2 linked regions of the Tribolium castaneum genome follow. Each later gene encodes a partner of the first gene's protein in a complex. Links are inferred from orthologs where the notes say so. Each region holds a gene or a part of one and is shown on either strand. Other genes may lie near its edges. The genes, in order: FBXO11 and Cul1.

Region 1 (4,383 bases):
TGTCATTATCAATTTCCACTCAAGCTTACGCTTGAATCGGACATATTGTACGGACGAATAGCTATAAATTATTCATACACTTCAAAATAACAATAATGTAATTTATACTTTCAATGAAAGATCTAATTATTAATAACTATTTTGCATTTTTATCAACCTTACTTAAAAAATAATTTGGTAAAATGCGACTTTGGCATTTACGTAGTTTTGAAACACCTAATATGTAAACGCCAACGTCGCATTTCCTATCTAAATTTGTTGTTATAAAGTATTTATGCAAAATTAGTAGTTAATGTAATTATACTTTCAATGAGAGATCTAATCACTATAACTATTTTACATTTTTATCAACCTTATTTTAAAAAAATAAGTTGGGGAAATGCGACGTTGACGTTTACATAGTTACATAGTTTGTAAACAACTAAAACTATTTGAAAGCTTATTATTTGATCTCTTCAGCTTGATTTAGTTAATCAGCGTTTTCAAACAAGTTAAAAAAATGTTAAAGTTTACTCTAATTATAACTTCAAATGATCACATAATATTAACATGAACCGTACACATTTTTTTGCATAAAATAAAATCCTTTGAATGTATCCAGATCCACTGAACAATTCTGCCGCGTTAGGGTCGACTGTAGATTATAACATACAACAACTATAAGCTGCAAAATTTGCATTGACCGAACATGCCCCATGTCCGAACGTACCCCGCACTCCCCTACTTGGGAATACATTTTGCTTGTCTTTTGTTATTTGAAGGCTCAGGTAACACACCTGGACTTTATCCTTTTATGCAATATGTGAAAATTATTTCAACTGTATAAACGGTTCAAAATATGAAAAAAAAATTTTCCCATGATAAAAAAATTCGTATTTTTAATATATTACTAATTACATTGAATAAACAAGTTAATCATTTCTTGTATTTTTTGTGTAATAAAAAGAGTAACGTAGTGACGTTTATTGGTCTTGTTCTTTTCTTTTCCTCCGCCATCCGACATTGAATTTGTCGTAGACTATACCGTAACGGGGAGCGGCGGGAGGTGCGCGGTGCGGAGGGCATCCGTCGCAAGCCTACTTGATTTTGTTCATGTTGTGTGAAAAGGTGTTTTTCGTGTCCTTATCCTGAAAGGTGAATGGATTACCTGTTGTGCGGCGACTTCCAGACGTGTAAACTGGCGACATAAGTCACCGACATCAGCAAGCATAGCCCGATGGAACGAAAACAATCAAAAATTCCATAGAAATCCTGCACCATTCTGACATTTTAACGGTCACGTGACGTCAAACCAGCCCGGTGATTGGTTGGTCCGGTTCCGTGGTTGTCGGAACGGTAGCGAATATGGCCGCCAGTGCTAGTTCCAGTGTCTCCTTTGTTTAGAGATTGGTTTTGGTGCTAGTGCTAGAAAAAATGCCGAGCGCCTCTTTCACGGCCTCCAGGTCGTACGTAAGGAGGTCCCGCAGGAAGGGCGCTAACAGGATCCCGACTCCTTCCAGGACCACGTCTGGTAAGTGTAGCTGCTGCGACCCGAATCCCCCTATTGTCACCTTCGAGAGAATGCGAAAACAGTTATTTGGGGCCCCAAATATCGATTTTAGTTCATCAAAGACTCTTGTGGCGGACGCATCTGCGTAAAAATAACAGGGCTGCCCACATCGCAACAACCCAAATAAGTCCAGATAACGATTTTTATCGTCGCGAAATATTTGTAAACATGGCAGGCAGCCCCACGCAGGGGCTCCACCTTACGCTCACTCACACCATATTTCATACATCCCTCAATATCGATTTCCATCAAGTGGCTAAATTGCCTTTTAATTGACATAAAAACGACCGAATTAACTGCACTAGGACCCCTCAATGTAAATACAAAACGTAATTAATTCAGTTGCAAGGTTTTATTTTTCGACTGTTGCTAAACCCGGTTAGATCATCACGTTTCAGCTTCAGTAAATCGGTATCCTTCATTTTGTTGGAAATTTTCTTTGTGGCATTTGGCAGATGAGTTTAATAATCTTTAGCCCGAATAACAGCACTGAAAGCGTGGTTTTGGTTGCTACTAAAAATACTTGTAAGCAAACATACGGTCGAAAACAAGTTAAACATAGCCAAAGCTGAAAAATTTTTCATTTCGCCAACAAGCAATGAATAATTGTTGAAATTTGTTTCGCAGCAGAGCCATGCGAACCTTCCTGTCCTGTACCTAACCAAAACATTCCAGCACCTACGGCGGCCGCTCCGGGCTCTGGGGGGCCTTCAGCAATGGCCCCTGGGACCAGCGGCGGCGCCATTCCAGCCCATCACTCTCCTTACGACCTTCGACGTAAGTCTCCGTCCCATCACGACGGGCCGGGGCCCAGCACCAGCGCCGCGACGGCAGGATCGCCCACTTCCCCGGCGACTCCGACGGCACCAGCACAAGGGTACACTTCCGCCATGCTTCCGGCGAGGAAACGTCCAAGACGGACTTGTTCCGCTTCGTACGAGAGTACGATCACAATTTTCCGAAAAAAATACCATTCTCAAAACGAGCTTTTGCAGATTGTACAAACACAGCCGCTCATTATCTCCAATACGAGCTGCCGGACGAAGTTTTGCTCACGATATTCAATTATTTACTCGAACAAGATTTGTGTCGTGTGAGTCAAGTGTGTAAACGGTTTCAGGCCATTGCGAATGATACCGAGATTTGGTAATAATTTGACCATTTGCTGTGAAATGCAACTTGATTGATTTTTTTTAGGAAACGCCTATATCAGAGTGTCTATGAATACGATTTGCCCTTGTTTAATCCGGCACCTTGTGTTTTCCAATTTATCAGTCCGGAGGAGTCTGATTTGGCTAATCCATGGAAGGAGTCTTTCCGTCAGTTGTATCGCGGGATACACGTTCGACCAGGTTATCAAGACTTGACGTTCAAAGGACGCAATCTTGTGTACTTTAATACGATACAAGCGGCTTTAGATTATGCCGATGAACGTAGTGGTAGTAATAGTACGAGCGGTTGTCTCTTGGTCAATAATAATCACACTGAGGGTACCACTCAAGGCGCACTCATATTTCTACATGCCGGTACTTATCGTGGAGAGTTCCTCGTAATCGACGACTCAGACATTGCTCTTATAGGTTTGTAAAATATTACTTACTAAAATGTCTTTATTGGCTATTTAACTTTACAATCCTTGAAATTATTTGATATTCTACCTTACGTATACTTACACTTCTTTATTTTTTTTCAATTTTCTTCTTGCACCTTATCTTTCTCTCCCAGGTATGCTAAGAATAATGCAAGCTTTAACGCACAACCTTGACTTACGTCTTTAATTGTTCAAAAACATTTGCTCGTCTCTTGATTAATCGTTTCTTCAAAATTTTCTCTATTTTTTTAACTTTCTAATTTTCAGTTCTTCTTTTGTAAGTTCGTTTATTTCCTGTAATGGTTCGACACTTTTGATCTCACTACAACTGTTTTGACTTCCCTTTAGTACTTCCATAAAGTGATCGTTCCACTTTTCCATACTTATATTTTCATTTATTTTGTCTTTACTTTTGCTTTCTTTATTTGTAAGATTCCACACCTCCAACTCTGTCCTAATTTCTTTTATTTTGTATACTTTTTTTTCTTCACACTTGTACTGTTTTCTTACTTCGGTCTACAAAATATTACTGTCGTACTTGTTACTTATCGAATTTTTTTGAAGGTGCGGCACCTGGGAACGTGGCCGAATCCGTGATACTAGAACGAGAATCCGAATCGACGGTGATGTTCGTCGAAGGTGCAAAAAACGCCTACTGTGGCCATCTTACGTTGAAATTTTCACCTGATGTCACATCTACAGTACCTCACCATAAACATTATTGTCTCGAAGTTGGAGAAAATTGTAGTCCGACTATAGATCATTGCATTATACGAAGCACATCAGTTGGTAAGTCTTGCGTTCAATTTAAAGTCAAAGTTTTGTACATTTTTTTTGTATTGATTAGTTGGTGCGGCCGTTTGTGTGAGTGGTGCCGGCGCAAATCCCGTCATACGTCATTGTGATATAAGTGATTGTGAAAATGTCGGCTTGTACGTCACCGATTTTGCCCAAGGAACGTATGAAGATAACGAGATCAGTCGGAATGCATTGGCTGGTATTTGGGTGAAAAATAACGCGAACCCGATCATGCGTCGTAATCACATACACCATGGAAGGGACGTCGGAATATTTACGTTCGATAGTGGAATGGTAAGAAGAAAGTATTGAATACTTTAAGGACCTAATCCTAAACTTGGTTGACTTGTCGAAAAACAACCGTAATTAGGGTGGAATTATCAAACAATAGGCCAGTTCAGTTTTGTTTATAACAACTTCTATATCAATAAAATAAAAAACGATG
Region 2 (3,298 bases), about 13 Mb from region 1:
ATGTTCCATTCGGAGTTCCAGCAGTTGTTGGACGCCGACAAAGACGAGGATTTGGGTCGGATGTACTCGTTGGTAGCGCGGATTCCGGACGGTTTAGGGGAATTACGGACGCTTCTCGAGCAACATATCGCAGCTCAGGGGCTCTCAGCGATTGAAAAATGCGGAGAAAGCGCCCATAATGTAACTAACTGTTACTACAACTCCCAGTTTTTAATAACCTGTATTTAGGACCCGAAAATTTACGTCAACACGATTCTGGAGGTGCACAAGAAGTACAACGCTCTTGTTTTGGTGGCGTTCAACAACGATAGCGGTTTTGTGGCGGCTTTGGACAAGGCATGTGGTCGTTTCATCAACGCCAATGCCGTTACCAAAAAAGCCAATTCGAGCAGCAAATCGCCGGAATTGCTCGCGAAATACTGTGATTTGCTGCTGAAGAAGTCGAGCAAGAATCCGGAGGAGGCGGAGCTCGAAGATACGTTAAACCAAGTCGTATGTAACGAGGTTTTGTTTTGGGTGGGGTTTTGATTGTGTTTTCAGATGGTTGTGTTCAAATATATCGAAGATAAGGACGTTTTTCAAAAGTTCTACAGTAAAATGCTGGCCAAGCGATTGGTCCAGCACATGTCGGCGAGTGACGATGCTGAAGCTTCAATGATCTCAAAACTGAAACAGGCATGCGGGTTTGAGTACACCTCCAAGTTGCAAAGGATGTTCCAGGCAAGTTGGTACAATTGGTTTTTAATTGGTCATTGATGACCCCGAGAATGAATGATTTTCTATTAATAAACAATTTGCGTTAATACGAGACATTTATAAACGATTTTCTGCACATTTATCATATCGATAAACAAACAATCAACGGAAATGCGAATTTAAACATAATTTTTTGCAAAGTGACTTTGGTTATACGCATTTCTTCCGTTTTTCATGACTGACTTCAAGGCCTGCTCTCCTTTTGGAGATTTCAGTGGTAACTTTGAACTGAAGGCGACTTTCTTTTTGTCTTGCTAAATTTCCAAGTTTTTGGCTAAAAATTTAATTTTTTCAACTTTTTATTTGACAATTTCCAAAAAATACAAATTGAACTTTAAATTTTTTTCTTGTTTTTTGTACGTTTTTCACTCAGAAATGCTTCTTTTTGCGAAAGTCCTCCGGAATAAGCCGAAAATTCATTAAAATAAGTCGGGAGATCTCAAATGATTATTATGAAATAATTTTGAAATTTCAAATGCTAAAAAATATTAAAAGTCACTACTTTAATGACGGTTTATGTTGCCATTTTTGGGCCATTTTATCGTTAATTCTTTCGAAAAACAGCCTTGAAAGCGTTGATTTTGGCGTAATCTGTATTTTTTTAGGACATTGGCGTGTCTAAAGATCTGAACGAGCAATTCAAAAGTCATCTATTAAAATCAAACGAAACCCTAGACATAGATTTTAGTATTCAAGTGTTATCTTCCGGATCATGGCCTTTCCAGCAATCTTTCACCTTCGGATTGCCGACCGAGGTGCGTTTTTTGCTTGTTGTAGGGTTGGGAGATAAATTGTACGTTTGCAGCTTGAAAGAAGTGTTCATAGATTTACAAATTTCTATTCCGGTCAGCATTCGGGCCGGAAATTAAATTGGCTGTATAACATGTCGAAAGGAGAGTTACACACGAACTGTTTTAAAAATAGATACACACTCCAAGCTAGTACGTTTCAAATGGCTGTGCTGCTCCAGTTCAACGTGTCTGAAAGTTGGACAATAGCTCAACTCGAGGAGAATACACAAATCAAAACAGATTTCCTAATACAGGTCATACAGATATTACTTAAAGCGAAGCTGATCACTTGCGATGATGACGAGAACGAGCTCGCGCCACACTCGGTTGTGAACCTTTTCCTAGGATATAAAAAGTGAGTTTACGCGCCAGGGGTGTCCCCCGATTTGAGTTTTTCTTCCAGTAAAAAACTTCGGGTCAATATCAATATTCCGATGAAGACCGAGCTAAAGATGGAGCAAGAAACAACTCACAAGCATATTGAAGAGGACAGGAAGTTGCTGATTCAAGCCGCGATTGTACGAATCATGAAAATGAGGAAAATACTGAAACATCAACAGTTGGTGGCTGAAGTTTTGAACCAGTTGTCGTCAAGGTTCAAGCCGAGGGTTCACATCATCAAGGTGATGATATTTCTCGTATTAGTTGTGTGTTTGATTTGTGTTTTGTTGCAGAAATGCATAGATATTCTGATCGAGAAGGAGTATCTGGAGAGGACTGAGGGTCAGAAGGACACCTACAGCTACTTGGCATGATTCAGCAAACGCAACTGTCACCCAACTGTCTTTGATTAACAACCGGCGGAGTCAACGAGTGGCTTGTATATTGTAAATATTCGAAAAATAAATTGTACTTTAAGTGATATGCTATACTAAAAAATACACAACTGTATTTATGTTTTGATTGAATTGTCCTAGAACTGTCAATCTGAGTTCTGGCGCTCTCTTGATATTCCTTTGAATTTTTGTTTTAATTCTGCTTTTACTTTATTAATTGTATAGAATCTGTTTATTTGTATTACTATGTGAAAAGAATACGAATGTAATTTAATTCACCGATTTTAAATAAATTGTTTTGACAAATTGCTGTTTGAGTTAACGCCACTTTAACACACATTGGAATACGATTATCAAAAAAACATAAATAAAACTATGAATAATTTATTTATTATTTTATTCTATATTAAATTGATGATACACCTTTGTTAATAGGAAAATGAAAAAATGAGAAAAATATCACAGTTGGCTGAATAATTTGACTTCGCGCCACCTTTCGGTGTGCTAGTGCAACATGCAATGACAAGTTCACAAAGGTTTCTTGAACTCGATTTTACAAAATATTGACACAGATTAGAGGTTATCTTGCTTTAATCTGTGACCATCGATAAAGACAAACCAACCCTTGAAACAACCACAACCACCATGACTCTAAACCTAACCAAGGAAAACCGCATTTACAAGAAACTTTTCACTTTGAAACCCTCCCAAAGAGACGGGTATTGGGCCCTTGCCCCTTGGACCAATTAATTGCCCTGTTTTCAGCTTAGTGCTAAACATCCACCACACCGACAGAAACGCGCAGAAGATCCGCTTTCTCAGTTGCTGTTTCAGCAAAAATGGTCAAACACTGGCCTTGGCCGACTACGAGGGCAACATCTTTGTGATCGACTTCACGAGCACCAAATTCTGGAACATCCCAAAATTCACAAACACTTGCGTTATGGTCAAGTTTTCGCACTTCAAAGAGGGCGA

Evidence for each region.
Region 2: FBXO11 (region 1) and Cul1 share a complex: the UniProt entries of both Homo sapiens proteins name them as parts of the SCF(FBXO11) complex. The link is inferred for Tribolium castaneum from reciprocal best matches to the Homo sapiens genes FBXO11 and CUL1.

What each region holds. Positions count from the first base shown.
Region 1 is NC_087396.1:9,595,853-9,600,235, forward strand, and holds the start of FBXO11 (F-box only protein 11), read left to right. Parts: upstream 1-1,368; 5' UTR 1,369-1,413; coding exon 1,414-1,510; intron 1,511-1,962; exon of another isoform or gene 1,963-2,004; coding exon of another isoform or gene 2,005-2,074; intron 2,075-2,176; coding exon 2,177-2,491; intron 2,492-2,544; coding exon 2,545-2,695; intron 2,696-2,746; coding exon 2,747-3,129; intron 3,130-3,704; coding exon 3,705-3,929; intron 3,930-3,987; coding exon 3,988-4,232; intron 4,233-4,383. Other genes in the region: Sras (CAAX prenyl protease 2), read right to left, coding at 1,148-1,260. UniProt on the Homo sapiens protein: Substrate recognition component of a SCF (SKP1-CUL1-F-box protein) E3 ubiquitin-protein ligase complex which mediates the ubiquitination and subsequent proteasomal degradation of target proteins, such as DTL/CDT2, BCL6, SNAI1 and PRDM1/BLIMP1.
Region 2 is NC_087396.1:22,569,599-22,572,896, reverse strand, and holds the end of Cul1 (cullin-1), read left to right. Parts: coding exon 1-180; intron 181-228; coding exon 229-492; intron 493-540; coding exon 541-720; intron 721-1,361; coding exon 1,362-1,511; intron 1,512-1,561; coding exon 1,562-1,902; intron 1,903-1,950; coding exon 1,951-2,170; intron 2,171-2,221; coding exon 2,222-2,302; 3' UTR 2,303-2,629; downstream 2,630-3,298. Other genes in the region: TBC1 domain family member 31, read left to right, coding at 2,969-3,042, 3,089-3,298. UniProt on the Homo sapiens protein: Core component of multiple cullin-RING-based SCF (SKP1-CUL1-F-box protein) E3 ubiquitin-protein ligase complexes, which mediate the ubiquitination of proteins involved in cell cycle progression, signal transduction and transcription.